Arabidopsis thaliana: one gene and its partners. The protein of the gene in region 1 purifies or fractionates together with the protein of each later gene. This does not show direct contact. Each region holds a gene or a part of one and is shown on either strand. Other genes may lie near its edges. The genes, in order: LGO, AT1G48510, PMH1 and AT1G06070.

Region 1 (6,137 bases):
GACAATTGGTTACGAAGATTCTAAACCATCCAAGGGAGAGCCCATTATGACCCTTATCTTTACTTTTTGGTGTCGATTGGTAATATATTCTTTGGAATTTTATGGTTTTTCTATTTATTATTGCGATATATAGCTAAACTATATTATTATAGAAATGATATTTTACGAATAAGTTCATGATTTGGAGGCCATGCACGTTACGTTTCACTTGCTTTCTTTGTCGACATTGTACATTACAACGAATAAAATGTTAAAACGGCAGTGGATGCTAAACAAATTCATTTTTAAAATTCACGTCAATACAAAAACTGTAATTAATATACCATAACTCAGATTTGCATGTCGCTTTACGTAATTACGTTTCACATGCGATCATTACAATATATCCGCTTTACAAGAAAAAGAAATGTCTGTAAATGAGCTCTTTACATCACCAAACACAGATACACATGGAACAAGAGAGTTAATCTATATTTAGAATACGTATTTTATTGATCTTGTTTAAAAAATATTTCCTTGAAAAGAAGAAATACTTTCTTTTAAAAATGTAACAACGAAATTTGATTTGCGACTTATTACGAATTTGAAAGCATTTTTTAATTAGTAAAATTACATATTAAATTCCGGTCTAATATATATACTCAAACAGTTTAATTTCATGTGATAGACACATGATTATTTGTCTTCTTCTATATGGGTGTGTACTAATTTTATGCATCTAACTTATATAATTTAAAGTTAACAAAAAAACACGGTCGAAACAAAAGAACAAACAGAAATGATTTGGAATCCTATGCATATGCAACAAAATTTGGATTGCCAAAAAAAAAAAAAAAAAAGACACGTTCATTCTTATCAATTTAGGTTCGTTTTCTTTGTTACCAACCTGTAACAGTGATTCTTGTGTCTACAATGTTCGTTCCTTGTTATCATCCTGTAATGGTAGGGCCATCGTGTCTTATGCCTCGAAAATATATGTGAGAATCTTTCCTTCAACTCAAGTTGTTAAACTGTCTATATTATGAATATATATCCTTTTTTTTCTGAGTGTATAGAACTTTTAATCGATTGACTAAGTAATAGAACTAGATCTAGAAGTTCTCTAATCTGATTTATTATATATGTCCTGCTTTTGTTCATTAATCTTTGCATTTCTAGGAAATATGTTGAAACTAATTCAGACAAGATCTATTTTGAATTACATAAATTATGATTTTATTGCAAGGAGTTTTTTTAATATAATTAATTATTATTACTATTATTACAAGTGCATTTTTAATTTGTAGGACATTGTGAGACTTTAAGATCAGTTGTTCTTATTTCTCGATTCCTTTTCCATTTACATTCCATTTAAATCTGGTATTGCTTTTAGACGATTCGTTTTGGCCAAAGTTTTAACAACCGTAAGTATATTGGACCACCGAAACTTCAACATCGATTATAATTGATGGATTCTAAATGCTACAGATTGTTTGATTGTGATCGTATGGTTTCGTGGCCTTACAAAATTACATCGACTTATCCTAATTCCTCATATACATATCTCTCTTTCCGTAAAAATCGAAGCAAGAAAACGTGTCAATGTCAATAAACAAAAAAACAAATTACAGTAACCAAAAGAAAAGAGAGAGAAGAACATAATAAGAGAGGAAGAAGGGTTGACAAAAAAAAGGGCCAGAGATTGAGATCCTGCGAGAGAGATCATATAGATCTTTCCATTTCTGTACTTTTTTAGTTAGATATTACCACTGACTCACTTACACAGATCTACTCTATATACAGTATATATCATCATCACATGCTTTTCTACGTGGCATGTCCAAAATATGTCATATTTTGCCGTAAAATTACTCAGCAAATGTAATAATTAATTACATAAATATACAGCTAGCTTAGCGAGTTTGTGTACATGTTAAGAGTACTGATAATTCTAAGAATGAAGACAAAAAGAACATCAACAACGTATAGCAAAGTATAAACTAAATTTATAATCGTACCAAATCTATTTTTCGGTTGTAATTTAATAATTAGATTTTGTAAACCAATGTAGATCTTACATTAAGTTGAAAAACGCAAAGTGTTTAGGATGAGTAAGCAAAGCAAACTCATGTTACAAGTCTAATAATTGTTCTATGGCATGGCAAAGGCTTACATTTTTTTCTACATTATTAAACTTGGCGTGTAAAACGTTGTGGGTCCACCGTATATGTTGAAATCATAATGTCACATAAAAATTATACAGCTTCTCACATTGGACATTAAGTAATTATTAAAGTAGAGGATACAGAAACTGATGCAATCAATTGTTTACATAAAATATAATGATGCATGGACTAGTTTTAAATCTAATCACATGCCATGTTTTTAGGTTTGTAATAGGTACAAGACACACATTTAACCAAACTTTATGTTTGAGATCTAAGATAAGACATTGATCTAAAATTTGTATATATATGTGTGTACTTTTCTTTACTACCTATAGATGGTATTACTATTACTTTGATGGTTCGAGTTTTTTTATTAAGTAAAAGTTTCTATATAGACACACTTTAATGTTCTTGTTGAGACCATAACCCACACGTCTTTAGATAGGAGACCGATGGTACGAGAACACCATTTGCGTTTGTTTCATGAGTTATGGCCCTCCTTAATTCACTCGCACTTCCAAACTTTAGAGTTTCATTTGTCTTTTGTAAACTTTTTGGGAAATCTCCAGTCATTTTTTTCACTTTTTTTTATTATTCAACAAATATTACAGTACAAAACTTAATATAGCTAGTCATCTTACTAAGGTCATCCCAAAGGTTTTAAGCAATCACTAACAAAATTAGGCAACCCTTACAAATTGTGAATCACATGTGCTCTAGCTAGTTTTGTACATAAACACAAATACATACAAACTATACAAGTAACTTACCATCCCTAGTAAATAATATATTTTTTTCTAAATTCGGAAGTTACGTCCATTTTCCCTTCCCATTTTATATAGTTTTACCTTACTTACTCCATACTATATTTTATATTTTATTTTCGTTTTCCATGCCAAAAAGTAACTCTCATTTCTAAATGCGACATTCTAACTTTATGTATGTATATACGTGTATGTAAAGACACAAACACATATAACAAACCCTTCTCAACCTCTCACTTCTCCAAGAAGTTTTCTCTACATCCACAAAAGAAAAAAAGTTTCCCAAAAAACAAAAACATACACAAGTTTAGATATGGATCTTGAATTACTACAAGATTTGTCCAAATTCAATTTCCCAACACCCATCAAGATCCGATCCAAAACCTCAAAAACAAAGAAGGACGAAGGTGATGACGACGAAGATGACCTCCGCTGCAGCACACCCACATCCCAAGAACACAAGATTCCCGCCGTCGTAGACTCTCCACCTCCTCCGCCGAGAAAACCCCGGCCACCACCGTCAGCACCGTCGGCTACGGCGGCTCTGATGATCAGATCGTGCAAGAGGAAGCTTTTAGTGTCGACTTGTGAGATAATCATGAATCGGGAAGAGATTGACCGTTTCTTCTCCTCCGTCTACAATGAGACGTCGACTACGGCTAAACGGCGGAGAAGTTACCCTTATTGTTCTCGAAGATGAGGCTTAATTCAATATTTACATTTTTTTACAGTTTTACTGGAAATATTGTGAAATTAATTATCTGTTGGTGTTCGGTTTTAAATATTTTTAATTTAATTATGAATATGGATGGATAATTTTCTGCAACCGCGCATATTAATTTCGCATGGAGGGGTCGATGTTGTAAATTGAGTAATAAATGAAATTTAATTCCAATTGCCAAGTTTTCTATACAATAATGTGATATTTATGTCATTTATAAGAGACAAGATCGTTTTATCATCCAACTTCATGGAAAAAATAGTTTCAAAACATATATTGTCGACTTCTAAAGTTGAAGAACGCGTTTACCTACTATGACCGATATGATGTAAAATATCCGCAGCCAATATGAAGGATCAAAATATCTCCTGGTAAAAAAAAAAATTGTGTTATATATGACGCATGCATGTATATGAAATCTTTGAACAAACTTTTGTATATATGTCGCCTGATAAAAAGTTATTTATCAATATATTAAATTACAGTGATGTTAGCTAGTGATCAAGCATTGCTTGCTTCATGAGCAATGGGTGGTACATGTTCTTTTAAATATAAAATCATTGCATTTATGTGAGAATATGATGGCAATCAAATCAAAAGATAACTATTACTCGTATAGTCTCAAACAATATAATGTCATAGAGTTTATTTTTTAATATACAAGTCGATATTTGTACATTTAACGTTTATTATGTTACTGTATCTTAGATTCCAATTTCATTCATCTAGGTTGAACCGAAAACGCTTTGGTACCTCTCACAATATATATTTTTCTCAGTTAGATAACTGATGTACATAAGAAATCACAATTACATAAGATACCAGTCGAAAAAACATTAATATTGTGTAGCGTTTCGAAAATATACTCTGTTTGAAACTTTGAATATAAGCGGGTTTTCACTGTAAGATGTTAAATTTAGAAGGATTTTTTTTTAAATCTATCGTAATATTAATGACAGCAATAAATTGGGTTATCAAAAATGCTAATGGCGTTTAAAAGTTTTTAGGTGTTAATTTGGTAGGAGATGTATCAGTTGCGTGTCCTACGTGTAATTGTGAAAGCAACAACGCAAAGAAAATGAAGCCTTGATGAAAATATATGTTTAAAACAAAATTAATTGACGGAAATAGTATGTTTTAAATTAATGTTCTAATTGTACAATAGAAAAAGCATGTACATGTACAAAACTCAGTTATATTGTAATCAAATTTATTGATCTGTAATTCATGCTTGTTTATGACTTTTTTGACCGGCCGATAGAGCGGCGGACGCAACTTTGGGATCTGAAGATATTAAAAGAAAATGTTCCTAAAGAATTCTAATATCGAAGTTGATTCTCATCGTTTCTTACTTTATTTCTTTATGATCTCAAAATCATCACCCTTTAGAAAATTTGTTTCATGACCAGAAAATATGCAAGTGTTAACATGTTTTAATTTAGACTGTTTTCAAAATTTACAGTTGTTATTTAGTAAAATTTAGCAATGAATACAAACAAAACGATACACCAAATTAATGTTTGTAGTATTTACTATTTAGTAAATGCATGGTACTGTGGTAGACTCGCTAAGTAAATTGCATGTGTTACATTTTAATATGTAACCAGTAACCTCATGCATGTGTATCTCTTTCAAGTTTCAACAACCTTTTTGTTTTTTAGAAGTAAAAACTTAAAATTCTTTAATTGGCGGACAGAAAGATAAGGCGATTACTCACCAGACCAACAAAATTAAATGGAAATTAAATACATATAGAGTAATTAAATGGCTCTGTGACCAAAACATGGAATTAATGGGCGTTATTCATTAGACCAGTAAAATTGACTGGAAATTAAATATATATAGTAATGATACGATGGTCCTGCGACGAAGGAGGAGCCATGTCTACGCAACTCATCCAATAAGCAACACAAGCTATTCTTTTTTACTTCTTTCATGATTGTCAGTTTCTTCTTTCATTTATTCTATCATTGCTTGAGATATGTATTCTTTAATAGAAGTTAAATAGTGTGTACATATACCATGTTGTCACTTTTTAACAAACAAAAAGTCATATGGTATCATCATCATGTCGCATGAAGAGGAGCTACAACATTTCTTGATTCATGCGTTACGTGGTCTAACAAAGGGAATGTGATGAATTGTCGCTCTGGGAGTAATTTCGAAACGAAAGTTTTCTTACCTAAAACTCTTTATTAATTATCTGAGTTTCTGTAGAGAGAAATAGCATCAATTTAAAGCTTGAAAAGTTTAACACATCTTTGACAAAACAAATTTAGGAAGACCAAAACCAAAATAATTACTATTTCTCTCTATCTGTTTTCAGTGGGGGGACGAAAGACCTTTCTTTCTTTTTGGTAATGGGCCGGGCCGGGCCGGTTTAATCCAAGGCAAATGGCAAGATCCGTAGAGTTTTACATACAAACTTTACTCTAGTGTAAACAAGAAAGTCAGAAACCGCATGCGTTATAGTTAGTGAAAGGTTCGATTTCTGTCAGGTCTTCG
Region 2 (7,425 bases), on another chromosome or scaffold:
AAATTATATTCAAACAAAAAACGTTTATACAATAAATGCTACTTCATGCTGAAATTTAGAAGAGAAGTAGAAACAGAGTTTGACATAGAAAAACAGAACACTCGGGCTAAGAGGACGAGCGTGTGGAGAACCAAAGCTGCAGGCCATCCTTGTAACGATGGTTGCTAGTGGCTGTGATTGTGCTGAGACGGTTCCGTACGGTTCCATCGATTAGCTTGAGATTTTAAAAACAATGAGTCGAGATATTTTTTATTTTTCATCAAATATGCTAAATCTTAAGAATTAAATTCAATAGCATTCATTCTTCCATAAATAAATAGTGTAGTAAACCCTTTATTGATTTCCCAAAAGTCATCAAAAAAAAATATATATATATATAAAATTCAAATATTATAATATTTGAAATTTAATAAAAGTCTTAATACTATAAACATTTAAAACGTTTATAAATAAGAGCTTTGGTAAGCCAAAACCTTCTTCTCTTCTAAGCCAAGAACTGGTCTTCTAGATCTTGTGTCAGTGTGTCACAAGTTTGTTTATACCAGTGGGTCCAACAAAGCTTAGAGAGGCTATAATAGAAATTGCCAAATATTCTATAAAGAGAGCTGCTCATCGATAAGTCCCTTGAAAACTCCAACGAAGATGGTGCAAAGTTTATTGTCGGATTCTTAGCTCAAAACGTTTTTCCGATGTGAGAATGCCAGGATGCATGTAGTCTTATTTAAAGCTTTTGTTACACATATACAAGAGTTAAGACAAATAGATACAATTTCCAAAACTAAACCTTCCTATCAAAATCTGAAGAAACAAAAGCTATACACTATACTATAGTTACGATACGTTCATATATATACTCAAAATGGTCGGGGTCTAAATTTGTCTTAGTGCAGATGATGAGCTGGAGGAGAGCTTAATAACGCAATCGGACAACCGTGTTCAATAGTCTGTTGATGACTTGTTGTCCACGTAATAGGGTGATTCGTTAATGACCCTGCAAGAAAACAAAAGAAAACACCAAACAAGCTCAAGAAACGTGTTTTAATTACACTTAACGAATAAGTACACATTTTTTGGCAAAGTCATGAGCTGCTGGTTCCAAGAAAACTTACAACAAATAATCTGTCATTGTAATAGCTGAATGTTGTTTTACGGGAAAAATGTCAATTAATCCCCCAACTTTCAAACAATGGCTATTTTATACATCAACTTCGTATGCGGCCGTTTAAAACATGAACTAAACGTTGACTAACTTTTAAAACATGATTATTCGTTGACCATGCCAAAATAGACATGCCGTTATCAGTCATTAACGGAACTTCTAACATCCGTTATCATCCGTTAACGACTTTATTAGTCAAGTTTTAAATTGTGGCCATTTTAAACACCGACTTTATATGTGACTATTTTAAACATGAACTAAGCGTTGACTACCATTTAAAACATGAGAAATTCGTTGACCAAGCCAAAATAAACATGTTGTCATCATTCATTAGAAGAACTTATAAAATTCATTATCACTTGTTAACGACTCTATTAGTATCCCTAAAACGACTTTGTTTTGAGAATAATCAAAAGATTCTAAATGAAACCCCAGTTCCCCAAATCTATTTCTACAACCGCTCAAACAAGACGAACAATCTTATAATGAGTCTTCAATTTGCTTTCATGATTCCCTTTAAAATTTAAAACAAATATATAAACGAAAACACCTTTATTTGCTTCCAATTACTGGCACTGCGATTATCTCTTTATCAAACTATGTTCTTGGGTTCTGCTTAAAACTTTTGATATGGAGATTTCATATGGAAAAAATCTTTGTGTTCTTTCGATTATTCTCAAACGACGTTGTTTTGGACAGATTAACAGTTATTATTTCTAGGTTCTACTGATAAAGAAATGTCTATTTTGGCCTGGTCAACGAATGTTTCATGTCTTAAATGGTAGTCAACGTTTAGTTCATGTTTTAAATGGCCAAATAAGAAGTTGATGTTTAAAATGACCACAATTTGAAACTTGACTAATAAAGTTAACGGATGATAAAGGACGTTAAAAGTTCCGTTAATGACTGACAACGGCATGTCTATTCTGGCCTGATCAACGAAAGATCATGTTTTAAAAATTAGTCAACGTTTAGTTCATGTTTTAAACGGCCACATACGAAGTTGATGTATAAAATGACCATTTTTTGAAAATTGGAGGATTAAATGACATTTTTCCCATTGTTTTACTGATAATACAAATGAAGAGTACAAATGATGATGTTTAAGATGCGAGATGTTTCTAAGAGATGAATACATACGGGAAAATTGATTGAATACAAAAAGTTCTGGTTCGTAATAAAATTATCCCATTTATCTCTCTTCTCCTTTGCTTATAATCAAGCTCACAATCCATATCCTCTCTGCGATCTTCTGGTGGCCACCGATCTTAGTCAATCCGAACCGCGATTTCGAACTTATTCACCCTTCATTATGGACTTCATTGGGCATGTCATTTGACTTTTCCTGTGTCGAGTTTAGTGACACACCCAACACCAATAGTGTCTATTTTACAAAATAAGTTACGAAGACTGTATATCTTGGTACATATAAAAACGAGAATGGAAATTGGAATCAATATTGGCTCTACACCAATAGGATCAGATTTTGTTAATCTTCGCATTAAAATCGAAGACGCCTTAATAAAGCAAGTCAGGGAACTCCAGTGCCTGCATATAGAAACAATCAGGCACACTACCATAAACAAACAAACAAAAACAACCAGTTACTAGTGCAATAAGTTCGATGTTATGTTTGTTAATTACCACAAAACTGTGTACAAGTGATAGTCCAGTGGTATATCCTTACTACGAGTCAAGTTCTCAACGTCTCTTGGAACTGGATAAGTTCTACTTTCATCCATATCTGTGTACGTACTCTCTATATACATTGTGTCCTCACCAAACCCCATGGCTAGAGCTAGTTTAGGAACGTCAAGGTAGAACCACGCAAGCGAACTTGGATAATTTACTAGAGTATATATGCCTGGAGTTTCACTTTTCCTAACTACACCCACCACTTCCACATGCATAGCCCTAGAGACTTGGTCCTGCTAAAAAATATTCCAATAACACTTAACTATGATATCAAATCATGCAATGAATGATTGAGTACTCATTAAGTTTATGAAATGAAGACCAACCTCAACAATCATTGGGTTGTTCAACTTGTACCAGAACTTCGACAAGAGACTTTGTTGAGAGGAGAGAAGTTTATTAGCTTTTCTTGACTCTTTTGCAGCAGCAACAAGACCACCAGTACCTAGAGATTCTAGAGAATTTTCTTTCCAATCCGAAGGAACCCATCCGCGATTTACTAGAATAGGGGACTTCATACTAGTGACAAAAGGAAGAAGAAAAAGATAGTTAGACCATGTTTGTTTGTTTGTTTGTTTTGGTGCATTTGTATGCAACCTTATTTGTAAGAGACACAAAATTTGCAAGTATTTGCATCTAGTCTAGATGTTGCATCCAAACACTTAAATATACAAGAAAAAAGATATTTGCATCAAGATGGTATATATGGAGATCAAAAAGACTTTAGTTTGGTTTGCGCATATAGAGAGTAAATCCCTGACCTATTAGGTTCATTAGGGATTGGCAAAAGAGGTGTAATGACATAAAAGCCAATTTCAGAACTTTTAGACATGGATCTAGGCTTTGGACCCACATAGATCGATCTTTGCTCATCGAAAATGCCTTTGCATACCACCCGTCGAAATCCTAACCCATCCAAATCTTTCGTTGTATTCAGCTTCATTGGTTTCATTTCCAAGCATTGTTTTCTAGAATCAAGATGTTCCTTGTACTTGAAACAAAAGAGTTTGAACAAATTCTTTAGCAGATCAAAGAACAACACGTATAATTAAAATGTATATAATGAAAATCACAGACCACTTGTGTTTGTAGGAACTTATACGTCTCACCGAGACCATAAGTAGTGAATCCAACTAAGTACCATAACAACGCTGACCCTCTTTTCTTCTCTGCAAAACATTTTTACACAAAGATTCAGAACCAAGATTCAGAACTTAATCACAAATTAGACGAGAGAGAGCATGTGCAAGATACTTGCGGGTGGTGGAGCTGAAGAAAGCAATTGGCTCTCAAGATTGGAAGTTTGTGAAGCAGCAGGGAGATTGCTAGTAGTAGAAGAAGACATGTACTGACTTTGAGAAATCAACCTCTTAAATATCTTGGAAACGAGTTTTGTCATCTTTTTCTCCTCCAGGATCTTCTCTTTGTCTCATCCAAGATTCTTGATCTACTATATATGGCGACGACGACGAGGACTGATTAAGTATATAAACTAATGTTTTATTTTCTGATATAGCACATGGCACCAACTAATTAAATGACTTTCATCTGCTGGTGGAAATATTTTATATCAATTATCGAAAAAAAAGTATAAACATAAAGTTGACTTCAACAAAATCTAGAAGAGCTTGAATAGTCTTACTTTTATGTTTTTTATACACATGCAAGAGTAAAGACAAAACATACAGTATCCAAATTAAATTTATAGGATATATATAAATAACTTGCTTTTACAAGCCCAGTGTACTAAAATCTGAATAAACAAAAGCTATAACAACTATACTATAGTCTATAGGATACAGAGCCAGAGAAAAAAGAAAAAGCCTTTAGAACAATGAGGGGTCTAAATTGGTTTTAGTGCAGATGATGAGCTGGAGGACAGCTTACACATTCAGACATCAGTGTTCTACAGTCTATTGATGACTTGTTGTCTACGTAATAAGGTGATACGTTAATGACCCTGCAAGAAAACGAAGCCAATATACAGCAAACCTGTGTTTTGATATTGTGAATAAGTGAATAATCTTGTAGCTCAGTACCTTTCTTTGCGTTTCTCTAAGAACCGAGCCAAGGATGCTTTGCGTGTTTGTGGTAAACCCACTGTATTAAATCATAGCAAGATTTTTTGGTTATAACAAACTAAACCTAAGATAGAAGTTTGATGACAAAACATTAATAGGAGTTAAGACTTCATTTATAACCTGTTGGAGCCATAGAGAAGGCAGCAGTTTGGTTGTTGCGCGTGGATGCTAAACTCGCCTTTGTTTTTGTTGGTCCAAGTCCAGTAACCCCGTTGGATCCACTACTTCTGGTTTCAGAGACAATGTAAGAGATGGAAGGCAGGAAACTAGGAGGCATAGTTGGAGGATCAGTGGTTGGAAGAGAGTGATGAACCAGTTTTTGAGGTTTAGGTTGTGAAACCGGTTTAGCATGAGGTCCATTTCCGGCTAGCAACATGATAGCTTGGGCCTATGAATACAAAATAAATGAAGAAGTAAGGACAAAGATTTATCATATCTATGAATCATTAACATACTGTATGTTGAAACCAGGTTAGTAACTTTCTATAACTTCAGCATGTCTATACGTGAAACTTATTTCTTTGATTGAATACTTAGTCAGTGGATAGCTTGGACTGTAATGTAACACATATTGAAGGAAATTTGGTTACCTTTTCAGGAGCTATGTCTTGGTAAACTAATACTGAACCGGCATAAAAGATTGTCAACTGAGGGGGAAGTGGTTTTGAAGAAGATCTGGAGATGAACATAAAGGAGCTCGAGTCAACTATAGAAGTAAAGAGGTTCTGTATCTGATGTTAAACAGAAGAAGATAGAATGCAGTGCATGCCTAATAGTGGTTGGAGCAGGAAATACTGAAACTGGAGGTGCCATGATAGGAGATCCTCCTAAATGTTGGTGGTTTATGAAACTGTTGATGTAGTTTGGTTCGGACATGGAGACTGTGATGGTTGTTTGGTCTTGCTGACTGGAACCTGGGAACACTCTGTCTTCCTGAGATCATTTTGTATCAATTTTGAGACCAGAAGAAACTAAACCAATTGCCAAGCTTTCTTACAAGGTCACTAAATCACACTTTATCACTACTTTTTTTCTTTTCAAGAAATAGCCTAACCTGTAGTGAGCTGAAGTAAGTTCTCTGGTTTTGATCCATTGCAGCAGAAGAAAGCAAATGATCATTGACTGTGTTTACACGCGTTTCTTGTTGGGATGTCCCAAAAGAAAGAAACTGAGGACCAGAACCGACTTTGCTTGAGAATGACCAATCCATCATACCTCTACTTGGGGCTGAAACATGAGCAAATGTCTTTAGATTTTATCAAACTAGGAAACACTCAGATCTAGCTATGCTAAAGTGGACGACTCTTAACATTAGATTCATCAACAATGAACAAATCTGCATAAAGCCAAACACACTGGGGAAAATAGTGATCATACAAATACTTTCAAGAAATGGCACGTTTCGGAATATAAAAAGACAAGAACTAACTATTAAATTCCTCGTGGGTAAGTAAATTATTCATCCAAATTGTAACTTGATCTAAATTTAATACCCAACATGATCCTAACTTAATCAATGAGTCTACTTGGATAGAAATAAAACTTAATCAAGTCACAATCAATCTTGCTTTTATATAATTCAACTTGCATTTGTTGTTAAATCTCTAATCGTCAGCCGGTCGCTATATAACGCATTCTTTTCCCAACATTTCACGTCTTCGTTTTTAAATAATACTGATAGAATTCAAGTTGCTTAATAAACCTTAAAAAATGGCATAAACTTTTCAAAAAGAATAACCAGCCAATGTTCTAATTCTCAATATTCAATCCGGCTTTGAAAAAAACAATCTTTTCTAAAGAAGATACTATTGTATTGAAACCAATTGATCAATTTTGTAAGCAACAAAAAAAATATAGCATTTTTGTTCTGTCGGTGTCGGCTGTTTGAAGAAAAAAACGAAATTATTTTGAAAACACTCAACATTACCAACAGCTTTAGAAACATGCATCACCTAGTCACCTAGAAAATCAAGTTTGTTCTCTGAATATTATTTTTCAAAGATAATACTAACACTTGTTAAATTACTAACGTCAACAAGTTTGGTGTTTGCTTGTATAGTTGTATACTTGTACATTTGTAGTTTGCAAAAAATATTTAATGAAAAAAACTTCAAAAGTAGATCGTGAACGTATGAATTTTCTAACTATCGAGTCCCAAAACGTGTTTTTTCATCGGCTACGTCAAACAAATTCGAGTAGCTAAATTTCTGTCTATAGTACTAAAACCTAATTTCTTAAATATATATCAAGAAAAAAGAAACCCTAATTTATTTTTTCTCTTCCCGAGAAAACGAAGAAAAAATTTCTTGTTCAAGAAAAAACCAGACAGTAGGACTCCCAATCAAGCTAGAAAAACAATATATATGTACTTGAACAATAAACAAAAAAAGAGATTACAAAAATAGAAACAAAAAAAAGTGAGATGAAAAACACAATCATCAGATCATAATGGAAGATGTTGAAGATGAATTACCTGAATCTTCGTTAGTT
Region 3 (8,227 bases), 4.6 Mb from region 1:
CCTTAACTGTTGTTGAATGTAATTTGTCTTGAATCTTTTGGAAGAACAGATAGTCATGTGCACTTTGAAACTAGGTTCATGTCAAAACTTGTAGTAACAATACTCAGATATAACTGATAATATGATGTACGATAATCAAGTATGTTGTATCTGGAGAACCGAATTACTCTAAATTTTGTGCTTCCAAGCAAATATTAATAGGAATCTTACAAGTCTAATTGAGGCTTCTTAGTAAGGTGAGTGGTAGATATGTAAGAGAGCCCCAGCGATAGTTTTCATGGTAGCTAAATGTTTTTGGGTATAAGAAGAAAGACTTAATCATGTATACACTTTATCTTTTCTGCTTGCTGAAGATGGCAAAGAAGAACACAAGAATGAGACTGAAACCGAAGCATTGAATATTCTTGGCTTTGACCAAGCTGCTGAGACTATGATTAAAAAAGTGAAGCAAGCATTGGCAGATGGAGAAGGATGTCGGGTATTAACCGTTTCTCTTGTCATTACACAAACTAGAGATTTTGTGTTCCCGGCGTTTAAGAAAACAGAGACTAATATTTGGCTATTTTCCAGGTTTATGGTGTCCTAGATGTACAACGGGTTGCCGGAAACTTCCATATTTCAGTTCATGGGCTGAACATCTATGTTGCTCAGATGGTTGGTATCCTCATCTCGCTTTATTAACCATCCCCTTACTAAGAACATGCTTTAAATTCAGATTCGTTAAAGTAGTTTAATTTAGTACCGTATGATCATTATTGACGTTTGTTTCCATTGATTTGTCAACAGAGAAAGTATAAAGCCAGAATTTAACTTATCAATAACCGATAAATTACTCTCATAATTTGTGTTTGCACCTCATTCACTGACTTACTACTTGATATTCCTTGTTAGTATATAACTAGTCTCTTTACTCTCTGAACAGATATTTGGCGGGTCCAAAAACGTAAACGTGAGCCATATGATTCACGATCTATCATTTGGGCCGAAATACCCCGGAATTCACAACCCACTTGATGACACCAACCGAATACTCCATGACACCAGTGGAACATTCAAATACTATATTAAGGTGTTTATCCAAATTCGTTACTCTTCTTGTACTCGTATCTCTCCGCTGGCTGTATATTTTATATACTTCATTATTTGTTTACTTTGAAGTTTGAAATCATTTACCTGTATGATCCATTTTGTTTCACACAAATCCGTATTTGTAAGGTAAGGTCACTAAATTCTTTCTAATATGGCGCAGATTGTTCCCACAGAATATAGATATCTTTCAAAAGACGTACTGTCAACAAATCAGTACTCTGTAACTGAATATTTCACGCCAATGACTGAATTCGACCGTACATGGCCAGGTTAGTCGATCAAACTTCATTTCCAGTATGCACCTGGTTCTTATTACTCTCTTTCTGTTTTCTGATGTATCTTTTTTTCTTCCAGCTGTTTACTTCTTATATGATCTTTCACCTATCACTGTGACCATCAAGGAAGAACGCCGTAGTTTTCTCCACTTAATCACTCGTCTTTGCGCTGTATTAGGCGGTACATTTGCTTTGACAGGTTAGTCCCATCTCAGTCTTGCCTCCAATACTCAATCTTTCAAAATCTTTTGCCTAATATAGTTTATCTCATACCTTAAAACAGGAATGTTAGATCGTTGGATGTTCCGCTTTATTGAATCTTTCAACAAGAAGCCGAGTACTAGAGCGTAAACTAGCTGAAACAGAGACAAAACAATGAGAAACAAAAAAAACCAAAGGAAGGAAGAAGAATCTCTCAAATCCCAAAACTTGTATCTGCCTTCTTCAGACAACAACACCCACCAGAGATTCCAGGATTGATGATTACATTACTCAGAAACTCTAGAATCCATGGATATAGTTTTTTTTTGAGTCTCTCTTATGTATTACTCTGATTATCTCTGGTTAAACTAGTAGAGTTAATTTGTAATTTTTATTCACCTTGCTTCCTGGGATTTTAACATTTTTGCATCTTTTCACTTGTCTCAGTAAAAAAACAAAATTATACTGTAGCTCACCGTAAGATAACGTACACTCGTCACAGGTGATCCTGTCCTCACAATTCTCTCTGATTTCGCTTACTCTTTCACTGAAACCCTAATTTGGGGTTTTTCAGATTTCCTTCAATCTCTCGTCGTCATTTCTTCGTCTCACCGTTGAATCTGAAAATGATCGCCGGAGTATTGCGCCGATCTTCACTCCCGTCGAGGCAGACTCTCTCCGCCGCGTTAGCCTCCTTCAATTCGTGTATTTCGCACAATCTCACTCCAGCCACCACCGGAGCTTCCGTCAGCTCTCGATTCACTCTCGCGTCGTCTCCTAACTCGTTTGGCATCAGAGCGAGGAACATCCACATTAGATCTGAGCCGTCGATGATTGTTCCCGCAGGAATCGCGTCACAAGGTTACGCCACTGTCACAAAGGATCGCAAAAACGAGATTAAGAAAGCTAAGATTAAAATTTCTCCAGACAATGTCAGACCATTGAGTAGGAAGGAGATCGCTCTCCAGGTATATGCATTTTTGTTCAAATTCATAGAATATTATTCAAAGTGCTTCATCAGATTCAAATTCGAATAGGAATCGGAATGTGAAATTCATTGAAATGATTTAGAACTGTTGTTTATGTTGTTGTTGTTGTGTGTTTGGGGTTGAATTGTAGAAAGAGGCAGCAGAAGAAAGCACATCAAAGATAAAAGGAACAAAGATTTGTATAGCGATTCGGTCTTTTGTTAACCCGGAAAAGCAAGCTTGGTGTCTTCCTCCTCACACTCGTAAAGTCGCAATGCCCGATACACGAACTCTGTACACGGTGCTAAGATCGCCTCACGTCGATAAGAAGTCTAGAGAACAGTTTGAGATGAGGTTCAAGAAACGGTTTCTTGTCATCAAAGCTCAGAGTCATGAGTTGAGCAAGAAGCTGTTTTGGTTAAAACGTTATCGTATTCTTGGAGCTCAATATGAACTCCAGTTCCATTGCAAGACCCGTTTGGATATGACTCAAGTGTTAGGCAACATCAATGGCTCCACCACCAATGCTTACTGAGATGGCTAAAGACATCATTTTGTAGAAGTTTCAAGACCCAACCGGGTACTATGCAATAATTTCGAACCTTACGGATCCATGAAACCAGCTTTGCTTCACATCAGATCAAGTAGTTATTTTCTTGCTTAGTATAAACATGTGTTTTTGGACGATTTTGAAAGATACAATTGAGTTTCAGTTACAGTGCTTTCCATTTATTCATTAGCCAATCAAAGTCTTTATACATCACCAAGGATTGAGACACATTTAGACTGCTAAAGGTGTCATTTTGAGAAGTTATAGAAACCTTTGACCCGACCATGGAATGATGTCGAACTTTAAGGATCCAAGAGCTCACATTTTAGGTGTATTCATTCATTAGGCAATTCTAAGACTTTTACATTGTACATAATCACTAATGATTTGAGACATATGGTATAGGTTAATTTGATAGATCTGATTCCGAACCTGAGCTATTGCCAATTTGCCACACTACACAAAGTTACAAAAAACAGAACTCATTAACTCTTTGCTTCACATTCAAGAACACCTTTGGGCTCAAGCAAAAAATAATAATCAACTCTGTTTCCTTACACAAGCTTGCACGTGTAGGAACATACCATACACTCACCCGCAGGTGATTATAACAAAGTTCCCTTTATACCCGCCTTTGATTCTTCTTCTTAAATCTCTAAACCCTTTTGCCGTCTCCCTAAAACCCTAATTCTCATTTCTGGGGTTTCACATTTCATCTTCACCAGAATCCATCACACTCTCTGAAATCTGAAAATGATTAGCACAGTACTTCGCCGATCTATCCTTGGTACGTCAAGGCGTACTCTCGCCGCTTCGGTGACCTCCATTAACGCAGCTCTATTTCATAACCTTGCTCCAGCCGCCGCCACAGTCTCCGATCTAGCAAATGGAGCTACTAATGTCAAGTCTCTCCCTTCGAATTCGAGCCCTTTTGGTGTTAAAGTGAGAGACTTTCATGTTAAATCTGTACCGTCGGAGTTTAGATCGTCGATTGTTTCTTCTGCGGGATTCGCGGCTCAAGAGTATGCTCCTTCTTATGAGAACGATGGAGGGATTGGAGATTCGGAGAGTGTTGGTAGCAGCGGTGGTGGTGATGGGCTTGCGATAGCTGATCTTGGTATATCTCCGGAGATTGTTAAAGCTTTGAAGGGTAGGGGTATTGAGAAACTCTTTCCTATTCAGGTATATATGATCTTCTTCTCTGTTCCATTTGGTTATAGAGATCAATTAAAAGTTTAGATTTTTTTAACTGAGTTTTTGATGTTTGTGTTTGGTTGAATAGAAAGCTGTGTTGGAGCCAGCGATGGAGGGTCGTGATATGATTGGCCGTGCAAGGACTGGAACGGGAAAGACACTTGCTTTTGGGATTCCTATTATTGACAAAATCATCAAATTCAACGCTAAACATGGGTTTGTGTTTACTGTTATATATAACGATCATTTGTGATTGAGAGATTTGCACTTCCTTTGGTTCTTATGTTGTCTTTTGATGTGACAGTCGTGGGAAGAATCCTCAGTGCTTGGTTTTGGCACCGACGAGGGAGCTTGCTCGTCAGGTTGAGAAAGAGTTCAGGGAATCTGCTCCAAGTTTGGATACTATTTGTCTCTATGGAGGTACACCAATCGGGCAACAAATGAGGGAGCTGAACTATGGTATTGATGTGGCGGTTGGAACTCCTGGTCGTATCATTGATCTGATGAAAAGGGGAGCTTTGAATCTATCAGAGGTTCAGTTTGTGGTTCTTGATGAAGCTGATCAGATGCTTCAAGTTGGATTTGCGGAAGATGTTGAAATAATATTGCAGAAGTTGCCAGCGAAGCGTCAGAGTATGATGTTTTCTGCAACAATGCCAAGTTGGATCAGATCTCTCACCAAGAAGTACCTGAACAATCCTTTGACAATTGATCTTGTGAGTAGTCTTATACCTGCTTGTGTTTATATCTTAGAATTGCTGTACAAATTGCAAATATTGATCTTGGCTGTAGCAGTGTAGTTAATGAAGTGACATTTTTTAATGACACATGTACTCTTATGTAATTTAGGTTGGAGATTCAGATCAGAAACTTGCAGATGGGATTACTATGTATTCTATCGCTGCAGATTCTTATGGAAGAGCATCCATCATTGGTCCTCTTGTAAAGGTATGTTTTCTTTACTTTGCTTTTAAGCCAATTATCTGTATCTTGTTTTGATTCTTCATTTTTGTTTCCAGTCGTGATTTTATAACATCTTCTCCTTTACAGGAACATGGCAAAGGAGGAAAATGCATTGTCTTTACCCAAACAAAACGTGATGCAGATCGCCTTGCATTTGGATTGGCAAAAAGCTATAAATGTGAAGCTTTACACGGTGACATATCTCAAGCTCAGAGAGAAAGAACACTTGCTGGTTTCAGGGATGGGAATTTCAGTATTCTTGTTGCAACTGATGTTGCTGCCCGTGGACTTGATGTACCTAATGTCGATTTAGTGAGTGAAAACAATACCTTTTCTTGCGCTTAACTAGTTCTGTTTCTCATTTTATTAACCTGTATTGTGCTTTGTGTACAGGTAATTCATTATGAGCTTCCTAATAACACGGAGACGTTTGTTCACCGAACGGGGCGAACTGGTCGTGCTGGAAAGAAAGGAAGCGCGATTCTCATCCACGGTCAAGATCAAACCAGGGCTGTTAAAATGATTGAGAAAGAAGTCGGAAGCAGATTCAATGAGGTTAATATCTTTCTTTACCACCTTTGTATCTTTTGTATGAATAGCTTGGGTAACAAACAGTTCTGAATCTATTTGGTTTTGAATTCAGCTGCCTAGCATTGCTGTGGAAAGAGGAAGCGCAAGCATGTTTGAAGGAGTAGGTGCTAGATCTGGTGGGTCGTTCGGAGGAGGTCGATCAGGCGGTGGTGGGTATGGTAGTTACGGTAGCAGCAGTGGCCGTTCAGGTGGTGGTAGTTATGGAGGTTATGGTGGCAGCAGTGGCCGTTCAGGTGGTGGTGGTGGTAGTTATGGAGGTTCAGGGGGATCAAGCAGCCGTTACTCTGGTGGTTCAGACCGCTCATCTGGTTTCGGAAGCTTTGGTTCAGGCGGTTCTTCAGGAGGATTTGGTTCAGACCGTTCTTCTCAGTCAAGTGGAAGGAGCAGCTTTGGTGGGTTTGGATCAAACGATGGTAAAAGATCTTACTGAGAGAAGTGTTGTGTTGGTTTTGACCCGACTCAGCAATAATGGAGTTGACTTAGGAGAGAACTCGGTATCTCGAGTTGAGTAGTTTACAAGGAGTCGAGCTATATATAAATTCTGTAGCTACTTCTTGTCTCATAAACCAACATAAGTTATATCATTATTTCATATCCTCTAATTCATTTTTATTTCTCAATTTGAGTGAAATGTGTTTCCCTTACTTCGCCACTTCCATTTATGAATCTTGTTAGATTGTGAGAAAAGGAAATAATGTGGTTGATCAAAGATTCAAATCATCCCTAGTTTTGATTTCTTGTTAGATCTTGCAAGTTTTTGGTAGAACCATACACAAGAAAAATTGTTTTAAGCTTTAATTCTCATATCTGACCAACAAAAATAAAACACAGTCGACAATTATTGTTCACTACAAAAAGCATTACTCTTATGTTTCACAACTAATTAGCCTTCATTTCGCAAAACTTGATGCACTGCATAGCAAGAGCATGCAACTAGCTGCTGAACGAAAAGGCTTGGCTCTGCATAGCTAGCATAATAATACCAAGCTCCTTGGGTGTGATCCCCTTTGCAGTGAATCCAGATTTAGTTTCATCCAGTCTTATAGGCCCAAGAACGGGTTCTTGTACACATACTTGGTGATTCTGAGGGTTACAAAGCTGAGATCCCATAAACGTTGAAAGGCGTTCAGGTGGTGGTATAAGAATCATTGAGATGAGTAAAACAGTCAACACCACCCACAAGGGCATGCAAATCAATGGTAGCCATCTCAACACCATCCCCCAGCTTCTCCATTTGGAGACATTTTGAAAAAAACTCAAGAACGGCGCCTGTACAACCGTCAACACTCATCCACAGCTGATCTGAAGTCAGTAATACTCTGGAAGAAGTATCAGTTTTGAACATTTTAAAAATTGATATTTACGATTTTTTTCTTTTTAGGGTGTTAAGGAATGGGGATTATCGACAAACAAGTGATGAATCAGATTATTAACAAAATATGGCATTTGTTGGGATGAACAAATACAAACAAGTCGGAATCGGATCTTGCAAGTTTTTGGATAGAAAACTAATACAAATAAGTTGTTTCAAGCTTTAATTTCTCCTATCGGACAAACAAAAATAAAACACAGTCATCAGTTTGGTTTAGTACAAAAGCATTACTCTTATGTTTCACAACTCTCAGCGTTCAATTCGCATTACAATCCACAAAAGCCTTTTGCTTTGGCTTATACAACATAACGATAGGTAACATAACGACCAGCCGTTTCACTCGGACGAATGATCTTCACGACTTGCCCACGTTTTAGTCCAAAGTATCTTGCGATTGGATCAGTCACTTGGATCCTTGGAAGCTAACAACACCCACAAAGTTCCAAACATTTAATAACACAACAAAAATTTCATCACCAAGAATTCAAACAAAGTTTCTATATACTACTAACCTGTGTCTCCTTCACTGTGTATCTCTCCAGTAAAGTTTTCTTCTCTTCAGTGGTAAGAACTTGATGCTCAGGAACAAGAACATGTTCTTTAATGTTCACTAGCATTTCCGCCTCCTGCAGCATCCACCACCAAATCATGGTTTAGTAGGATTGTGATGTGGATACATCATCATCAAGAGTCAAGACACAAAGTGATTTGTTTTACCTGGAAAACTTCCAGATGAAACTTAGAAGAGATCTCACTAATGCAAGTTCGAGCAAACGGGGTCAAGTTCTGTTGCACAACCAAAATAGCTCTGAACACATTCTCTGATTTCATCCTGTTCGTGTACATTTTCATCGTCTTCACACCAACTTTCGCCTCATCAGGGAAGAATATATAGAGCTACAACAAGAGCACATGAATCAGCGACTAAATCAAACACACATAAACAATCTTTCTACCATATCCACAGCTTCTTAGAGATTAAAGAGATGACATTTATCTATACTTTTGTCAAAATCTAGCTCTC
Region 4 (8,202 bases), on another chromosome or scaffold:
ATTATCATATCCACAATTTCTTTTCTTGTAATGTAACTTTATTACAACCAAAAAAAACTTTATACATTCAGATATGAAAAGTTTAGAAATGATTGAAAAAACTAAAGAAATGAAATTATTTGCGGTACAGGGGAAATCAGGCCATCTAGGCAGCTCAACTTCGAGTACCAAACCATACCGTATTAATTATAATCACTAATCTATAAAAAGTGAGTTTTATGTTTATGCAATGTATATACACAAATACACACAACCGCGTATGTTAAAGTTTGAGGTTATCTGTATCTCGATCAAAATATGAATAGATAATAACAATGAAAAAACGACTTTTGATCCATGGAAACATCTCTACACAAAATGTATTCCCCCATCCATACAGAATGATAACCCATCCACATCTTCGTAGTCTTAACATCGTAACAACGAAAACATTATTTACTCAGCTTAGAAAGAAAAAATCGAGTTCTTGTGAAATTTATTCATACATGCAAAGTAATTAATGAAACGGCAAATATTGTCTATCTCAGCTGATTTCTTTATCGATGTTTTATAACTAGCATTTTTGTTCATCTAAAATTATCGGGCATTATAATATATTAGCAGTTTTAAAAATCATTTGGTTCAAAAAAACTTCAGAAAGGTTATAAGTTAAAGAAAATTGAATTCACTTATAACTTATACTCCATGAATTCACTTAAAAATTGAATTCACTTAAAAGTTGAATTCACTTATAACTTATATAAGTTAGGAGATTTGAAAATAAAATAATAGAATGTATAAACCCTATAGACTACAAAAGAACTATTTCGTAGATTGTAAGAGAACCCACAGGCCACAGTGTGATAGATTCAACGTCATAACTACAGAAGACATTAATTAGATTTGGGACCAAAAAGTCAATGATGCACCTGCAAAAACCACAAGGGGTCCGACCCATTGTTTCTTTACCATTCACCAGTAACACAAATTTTGTTTTATATATATTAACCTATTATTAAGGTTAATTACAACATAAAAAGTAGTAAATGACGAATCACAGATCTCAATGAGGCTTCCTCTGTTTCTGGGATCCTAATGACAAATCTGATGTGGGTCGGTGTCCAATCCGGTTCTTTCTCTTTTGCCACCATTCAAGGCCATGCCTCGCCATTGATTCGAACCTCCACTGCTACTTTTTTACTGGACTATAAAAACATTGAAGTAAAAATATGCAAAAGTAAAAAAAAAACATATGATCTTTTGTCATCATTATTATTTTCCCTGACAAGTAATGAAAGGAATTCAAATATATTTTTATGACGATAAAAAAAAAATCGGACTCAAAGAATAACCTGAGACCCAATAGGTTGTTGGTAAAAACCTGATGTCTGAACAAGTCTGGGTAAGGTCAGAAGAAAAATAACAATGTTACTTTTTTTTGTGTGCACCTTTCTAACAATGTTACTAATTAATTAGTGTATCGTACTTAATAATGGTCTTGCTTCTCGTTTATGCTTTAACTAGCTAAATAACATATGGTCCAGTCAATCTTGGTTACCATTTTGACATCTCAATTTGCTTAGTGTTTGATTTTCTTGCTTTTAGTTAATCATCTTGATCTCCACAAAAAAATGGACACGCTGTTCTATGTACATAATGGAGCAGGTAGTTTTACTGTTTTATGTATCTTTGATCTACCATGAAAACAAGCATTTTTCTATAACTACAGAAACATATGAAGCAACTAAAAAGTAACATGAATACAAATAAACCCGACATGCACGAGCAGACTCTAGAGTGTAGACTCAAATTTTACATCCCCGTCAACCAGAAAAATAGTAAGTATTTAGAATTATTTAATACGAAAGCGAAATGTAGGTCCAATTAAATTCTCCAAGTAAGAAAAAAGCCGAACAATATATGACGATACCAAACCCTAAAACTGTGCAATAACACCTATTTTGTAGAAAACTACATTACGTACTCTGCTATAAAACTACATATCTATAATGGAACTTTTCAACCATTTTCTTTTTTTCATTTGAGAATCCTTTGTGAGTAACATAATTGTATATATACTTGCCTGACCATTTCAATTGGCATCATATTGCTGCCTTATTTCGTATGGGTTATGGGTACCCCCTAAGGCTTAACTTGTGACTATAGAGCCAACAAGGTCACGTGAGAATATATGCAGAAAAATTCACTGTAAAAAACACTATATATTTTACTACTTATTTTTCTTTTGATTATTACGAATATCCGGATTTTTTGGTAGAATGAAAATATTTCTAGCAAATAATTTGCAAATCCCATAATTTTAGGAATTGAATTGAAGTATGGCCAGACGAGGTTGTTGAGAGGAGTAAACACGCCCATTCAATTGTCAATGGGTGAGAGAGGTCGGTCAAGTGTGATGGGTAGTAGTACTATGGGCCCTATCTTTTACCATGCGGCCCATAAACGATGGCCCACTCTAGATTATTTTCAAAGAATATTAGTCCCCATGCTCCCTTATCCAGAAATCAACAACAATCACAGTACTTATAAGAGCGTTGACAAATACAAATAGTAAGAAACATATATTTTATGAAACTGAAATTGCAATGGTTTCAAACTCTTTCATTTCTCTTTTAAAATATTAGATTTTCATATGATTGAAAGAAATCGTACGTCAGCATTAATAATATTGAAAACATATCACATGGTTATAACTTCCTGGTTAGTATTTTCTTATAAAAGAAAAATTAGAAAGTCATCAAAAATAGTAGTAGTATTCGCAAGCAACTCTCGACGGTCCAACCAAAAATTAGCAACCACGTGAACCAATTTGACAAAAATAATTTATTTACGCTCTTCACGAACCAACCAGACATATTGATCATCATCCAACGGTCAGTAACATCGTTCATTGCAACACGCTAACGCAGCTGATTACACCCTAATTCCGACAAAAGTACCACTTACCCGAACCAAATTACGTTTAAACGACATCGTTTACGCCGTAAATCTTCTGATGCACACTAGTTCGAAGGATCCTTTAATGGGAGAGAGAATGTTCTACTTCTTCTTCTTCTTCTTCTTCTTCTTCTTCCTCCTCTCTCGTCGGATCTCTCTGATTTAGTGATTTTTCAAATTTCAAGTTTTCTTCACCTTTAATTTTGTGTCTCGTTGATCTCTCTTTGGACATTCTGCTTTGGATTCTGGAGGCTTCTCATTAGATCTCTGTAAGTGCGTGAAAACTCAAAAGATCCTATCTTTTTACTTATTTTAGGGTTTTCGTTTTGAATTAAGGCTAAGATAAAGCGTGTGATTGTTTTAGGGTTGTGTATCTCCTTAGTTGAGGAAACTGATAGCTAAGACGAAACCCTAATCTGTTCTAATATGGAATATAATCGCTGAGATAAAGCGTGTGATTGTTTCAAATGAATTTGATAGCTAAAGATGAAACCCTAATCTGTTCTAGTATGGAATATAATCTATCTTTTTTCGGGAATAAATGGTATGCAGATTAGTGGGTTTAGGTCAAGTTCTTGAAATGGATAAGGAGAAATCTCCTGCACCACCACCTAGTGGAGGTCTTCCTCCACCATCGGGTCGTTACTCTGCGTTTTCACCTAATGGAAGTAGCTTTGCAATGAAAGCTGAATCATCTTTTCCTCCTTTGACTCCAAGTGGAAGCAATAGCTCAGATGCTAACCGATTCAGCCATGATATTAGCCGAATGCCGGATAATCCACCTAAGAACCTAGGCCATCGCCGAGCTCATTCAGAGATTCTTACTCTTCCTGATGACTTAAGCTTTGATAGTGATCTTGGTGTGGTTGGTGCTGCTGATGGACCTTCTTTCTCTGATGATACTGACGAGGACTTACTCTATATGTATCTTGATATGGAAAAATTCAATTCTTCTGCTACATCGACTTCTCAAATGGGTGAGCCATCAGAACCGACTTGGAGGAATGAATTAGCCTCGACTTCTAACCTTCAGAGTACACCCGGTAGCTCTAGTGAAAGACCGAGAATTAGACACCAACACAGCCAATCGATGGATGGTTCAACAACTATCAAGCCTGAGATGCTTATGTCAGGGAATGAAGATGTGTCTGGAGTTGACTCTAAGAAAGCCATCTCTGCTGCTAAACTTTCTGAGCTTGCTCTCATTGATCCAAAACGCGCCAAGAGGTATTTTTTTCTTTTCTGAACAGTTTTCCTTCTATGTTTTTAAGAAGTTGTATAGTTTTTGGTGAAACATTATCTAGGGTTGTTGACTAAAAAGAATAAAGCTTGGCTGAACTGATCTGTTGGAGTTTTACATAACCCTTCATCTAGAAGTAGCTCACTCGTAAATTACGGTAACTAGTAATGAATTTGTATAAGATGCGTGACATGTTGTATCATTTGATAGGATATGGGCAAACAGGCAGTCTGCTGCGAGGTCAAAAGAAAGGAAGATGAGATACATTGCAGAGCTCGAGAGAAAAGTACAGACTTTACAAACAGAGGCCACATCTCTCTCAGCCCAGTTGACTCTCTTACAGGTTTGGAGACCAAATTTAACTCTAGACTAAGATATTTGTAAGTTTATGGTTGTAATCTTGTTCTCTTTTCATCCTTGTGTTCAGAGAGATACAAATGGCCTGGGTGTTGAAAACAATGAGCTTAAACTGCGAGTACAAACTATGGAGCAACAGGTCCACCTACAGGATGGTGAGGATCTTTTCTCACATACTTCCTAGGAGCTGATATTTCTTCATCTCTTTACTATCAATGCAAATAAACATTGTCAATGACTGTCGAAGGTGTAGTATATATGACATACCACATTCTGGATCTGTCAGTGTAAGATTGTATGCCATGTTTGTGGTCATACAAAGCTTAAAATACAGATCCAGAATCTTGAATAACACATAAACATACACCTTCAAAACTCAATGCCATTTCTCTGGTTAAGAAAGTCTATAAATATTTGTCCCCCGTCGAGATATTCGCTGCACTTTGTTGTGAATGCTGCTACTTGATTTAATCGTCTTTATCTGTTTGACAGCTTTAAATGATGCACTAAAGGAGGAAGTCCAGCATCTTAAGGTATTGACGGGGCAAGGTCCATCAAATGGTACATCAATGAACTACGGTTCTTTTGGATCAAACCAGCAATTCTATCCCAATAATCAGTCGATGCACACTATCTTAGCCGCACAACAGTTACAGCAGCTCCAGATCCAGTCACAGAAACAGCAACAACAACAACAGCAACACCAGCAACAACAACAGCAGCAGCAGCAGCAATTTCACTTTCAACAGCAGCAACTGTACCAGCTTCAGCAGCAGCAACGGCTTCAACAACAGGAACAACAAAGCGGGGCTTCAGAGCTAAGAAGACCCATGCCTTCTCCTGGTCAGAAAGAGAGTGTGACATCGCCTGATCGTGAAACTCCCTTGACAAAAGACTGAGTCTAGACTGTGCTAATGTCCAATTTAGTAAGTTACTCTTGGAAAATCTTCTTTTTCATCGCAGGCTCATGGATTTGGGATTTACTGCATTATAGAGTTAAAAACAAGACAGCTTAGAAGTTGCGGATTTAGAAGTTGTTAGTGAAGCTTTTGTTCTCGTCTGTTGGTAGTTTACAATCTTCTCTTTGTATGATCCTAAGCTCTTAAAAAGTTCTTGGATTTGGTCATTTGGTTAGAAATGGGTCCTTAGTCCAAGTCTGTAGTCGTTTAACCATATTCATATTCTTTGCCTTTTGTTCATTTTGGTTACTTGAAAAGTCTCATTTGGTCTTGAATTGTGATGTCTAAAAATAAAACCTTGAATTTGCAAGTATTCTATCAAAACATAAACGATAGTTACAAAGAGAAATGTGTATTCCAAAGATATGGATTACAGATTTATCGACTAAACTCACACAAAGTTGATGAAACAATCTTCTGGTAGAGAACTGAACCAAACCAAACCAAACCAAGCCGAAACTGTCCTTCACAATATTGATCTCCTGTAACAGCAAACTGAAACCCCGCCTGTGGCCATGGAAGACTAACCTTGCAAACTTTAGAGAGGAGCAAGGTCTTTTTGTATTTACATGACAATGCTTAGCATATCCTCCTCCTAGCAAACTTTGGAGTAGTCCTGCGATCTTAGCCTTTGAGAGAATCCTTCAGAGAGAATGGAGGAAACGCATCCTATCATAAGACATGAAATAGCGTTTAAACACAGGCACCTACTATTCCCAGGGCTTCTACAACGAATCAGATATATGAGTAAAAATACTGAAATACTACGATTACTTTGCCATTCTCCTCAGTCAAGTATTGTCTCACAACTGTCACCTGTTGTATGATCCTTTCCATTGGTGTGTAGCTCGGGTGGTTTGTGTGTTCTACATAATTTGAAGAATGAGTTAAAACTTGTAATTTGCTAAGGTCACAGGACGGTAGAGATTTTCGTGGAGGTAAAAATAAAAAAGAACTGACCAAGAATTGTGCGGTTCAGATTATCAGCAACTTGTTGGCGGTATTCAGAGCTCAAAAGATGGAACATTGGGGATTTCTCAGGGTCTTCATAAGCGAGCAATGCCATTACGTCCTGTCTCAGGAAAAAACAAATCTACCATCATTTGGAAGAACATAACAAGTAATCTACCAATACATCAAGACGAATATAATGGAGGATCAAACAAGATTCAGACTTACTTCAAGCTTTTCTACATATTTTTTGACCTTCCCAAAAGGAGCCAATCTTGTCTTACCAAATTTGAGAGCTTCGGTGCTGCACACGCAGAGAATCATTTTAAGATTACAGGCACAGATAAAACCAGAGTTTCTAATGGAAGACCAATCATAAAATCTCACCAGTTCCCAGCACAGATTAGCTCCACAAAATGAAGGCATAGAAGATCGAATTGCAAATCCTTGTTTTTCTCAAGCAAGTCTTGTGCTAGTTGTTCAGTTAGTTCAAAAGCCTTCAACGCCTTCCTCTCCAGTATAAAATGTATTATTTCTGAATAAGTGAACAATCAATCAAAACATATAATCACATAATTGCATAAGCACTCATTTAACAGCAGAACAAAAGATGACTTGTACAACTCACGTTTTCTTCTCTCCATGTTATCACGATCAATTGCAGGCTGCTTAACTCCAGTGGAAGAAGCAAGTGAGTCCGCAGTTTCGTTGAAGCAGTTGTGCAGAAGATATGACATAACAATGCTGTGAATATCATTATCAGCAACAACCTGGTTAACAAAAGAAAAGTCTTTAGAGAATAACACATTATACACAGTTTCCAGATTCCAATAACTTAATATAACACTGCAGTACTAAGGAAGATTAGTACAGCTTCCAATTCTGGATAAAAAGCCTCAAGATCTATTTCATACTAAGAACCACCACCAATACACAAGACGATAACTAATGCATATCCACTCATGAAAACCTAGAATAATCCATAATCCAATCAAATGAAATAGGTGCGATCATCTTTGAGCAGGATCGTTATTCCAATTCTGAAATCTCGAGAGAGAAGTCATAAAACATTTCAAGGAGAGAAAAACTTACGGTGTGTTCGAATTGACGAGGATCCATATTGTTCCACTCGAAGCCGGCGCGAGAAGTAATGATGGTTATCCAACGCCGGAGGGGAAGAAGCCAGATGAGATGGCCAAATTTCGATGAGGTGTGAGTCCGGAGAGACGCCGATTATAGTTTACGATGTGGAAAGCCCAAAACAAAAGTTCTTTTATTTATTTTAATTTGGATTTTTTTTTAATGTTTTTTGGTTATTTTGACGATTTTTGACAAAAAAAAATAGGAAAAAGTAAAAACTAACATTACTTTTCTTTTTCTTTTTCTAATTTTTTTCCTTTTTACTTGATTAGGTGTAAAAATTAAGGGAAAAAAATCTTATAGTTTGAATTATATAATCTCATACTTGATTAGGGAAAAAATCATATGGTATATAGTTTTATTTTATAATATTCATAGTAAATAATCATATATTTTTTTTGTCATAATAATCATAAATTTTTGTTAAATCCAAACTAATAATATTATTTTTATTTTGAATTCTATTAATAATAATTACTAGTTGGACTTGGACCTTATTTCCAGTTGGAAGTTTAATTAATTAGATATGAACTAAAGCGTTACGCCACGGAAGAATTTAGGATCTGTTCGCAGCATCCGTTTCAACGCTAAATCCAAACAACAAAAGAAGATTAGCAA

The links.
Region 2: the proteins of LGO (region 1) and AT1G48510 purify together in Arabidopsis thaliana (affinity purification with mass spectrometry, with the first as the bait; one large-scale study listed by BioGRID). This does not show direct contact.
Region 3: the proteins of LGO (region 1) and PMH1 purify together in Arabidopsis thaliana (affinity purification with mass spectrometry, with the first as the bait; one large-scale study listed by BioGRID). This does not show direct contact.
Region 4: the proteins of LGO (region 1) and AT1G06070 purify together in Arabidopsis thaliana (affinity purification with mass spectrometry, with the first as the bait; one large-scale study listed by BioGRID). This does not show direct contact.

The regions. Positions count from the first base shown.
Region 1 is NC_003074.8:3,279,050-3,285,186, reverse strand, and holds LGO (LOSS OF GIANT CELLS FROM ORGANS), read left to right. Parts: upstream 1-3,055; 5' UTR 3,056-3,136; coding exon of another isoform or gene 3,137-3,166; 5' UTR 3,167-3,208; coding exon of another isoform or gene 3,209-3,224; coding exon 3,225-3,611; 3' UTR 3,612-3,881; downstream 3,882-6,137. Other genes in the region: AT3G10527 (uncharacterized protein), read right to left, coding at 3,137-3,166, 3,209-3,511. UniProt on the Arabidopsis thaliana protein: Probable cyclin-dependent protein kinase (CDK) inhibitor that functions as a repressor of mitosis in the endoreduplication cell cycle. Cooperates with SIM and SMR2 to promote endoreplication during leaf development.
Region 2 is NC_003070.9:17,931,717-17,939,141, reverse strand, and holds AT1G48510 (Surfeit locus 1 cytochrome c oxidase biogenesis protein), read right to left. Parts: upstream 4,397-7,425; 5' UTR 4,254-4,396; coding exon 4,109-4,253; intron 4,024-4,108; coding exon 3,932-4,023; exon of another isoform or gene 3,846-3,931; coding exon 3,616-3,845; intron 3,374-3,615; coding exon 3,181-3,373; intron 3,091-3,180; coding exon 2,804-3,090; intron 2,708-2,803; coding exon 2,491-2,707; 3' UTR 2,196-2,490; downstream 1-2,195. Other genes in the region: JAZ4 (jasmonate-zim-domain protein 4), read right to left, coding at 4,709-4,814, 4,894-4,954, 5,056-5,323, 5,526-5,610, 5,705-5,868, 5,990-6,162, 7,409-7,425. UniProt on the Arabidopsis thaliana protein: May be involved in the biogenesis of the COX complex.
Region 3 is NC_003074.8:7,883,546-7,891,772, forward strand, and holds PMH1 (putative mitochondrial RNA helicase 1), read left to right. Parts: upstream 1-3,730; 5' UTR 3,731-3,836; coding exon 3,837-4,265; intron 4,266-4,365; coding exon 4,366-4,493; intron 4,494-4,581; coding exon 4,582-4,993; intron 4,994-5,126; coding exon 5,127-5,225; intron 5,226-5,327; coding exon 5,328-5,552; intron 5,553-5,633; coding exon 5,634-5,795; intron 5,796-5,883; coding exon 5,884-6,261; 3' UTR 6,262-6,608; downstream 6,609-8,227. Other genes in the region: AT3G22290 (Endoplasmic reticulum vesicle transporter protein), read left to right, coding at 354-478, 571-654, 923-1,069, 1,250-1,358, 1,444-1,563, 1,648-1,715; RPS10 (ribosomal protein S10), read left to right, coding at 2,192-2,533, 2,685-3,068; NRPB5 (Eukaryotic rpb5 RNA polymerase subunit family protein), read right to left, coding at 7,500-7,625, 7,716-7,829, 7,921-8,100.
Region 4 is NC_003070.9:1,832,432-1,840,633, reverse strand, and holds AT1G06070 (Basic-leucine zipper (bZIP) transcription factor family protein), read left to right. Parts: upstream 1-2,875; 5' UTR 2,876-3,206; intron 3,207-3,489; 5' UTR 3,490-3,517; coding exon 3,518-4,164; intron 4,165-4,387; coding exon 4,388-4,520; intron 4,521-4,604; coding exon 4,605-4,689; intron 4,690-5,026; coding exon 5,027-5,433; 3' UTR 5,434-5,805; downstream 5,806-8,202. Other genes in the region: AT1G06060 (LisH and RanBPM domains containing protein), read right to left, coding at 6,118-6,162, 6,268-6,359, 6,454-6,565, 6,673-6,748, 6,832-6,979, 7,073-7,214, 7,537-7,563.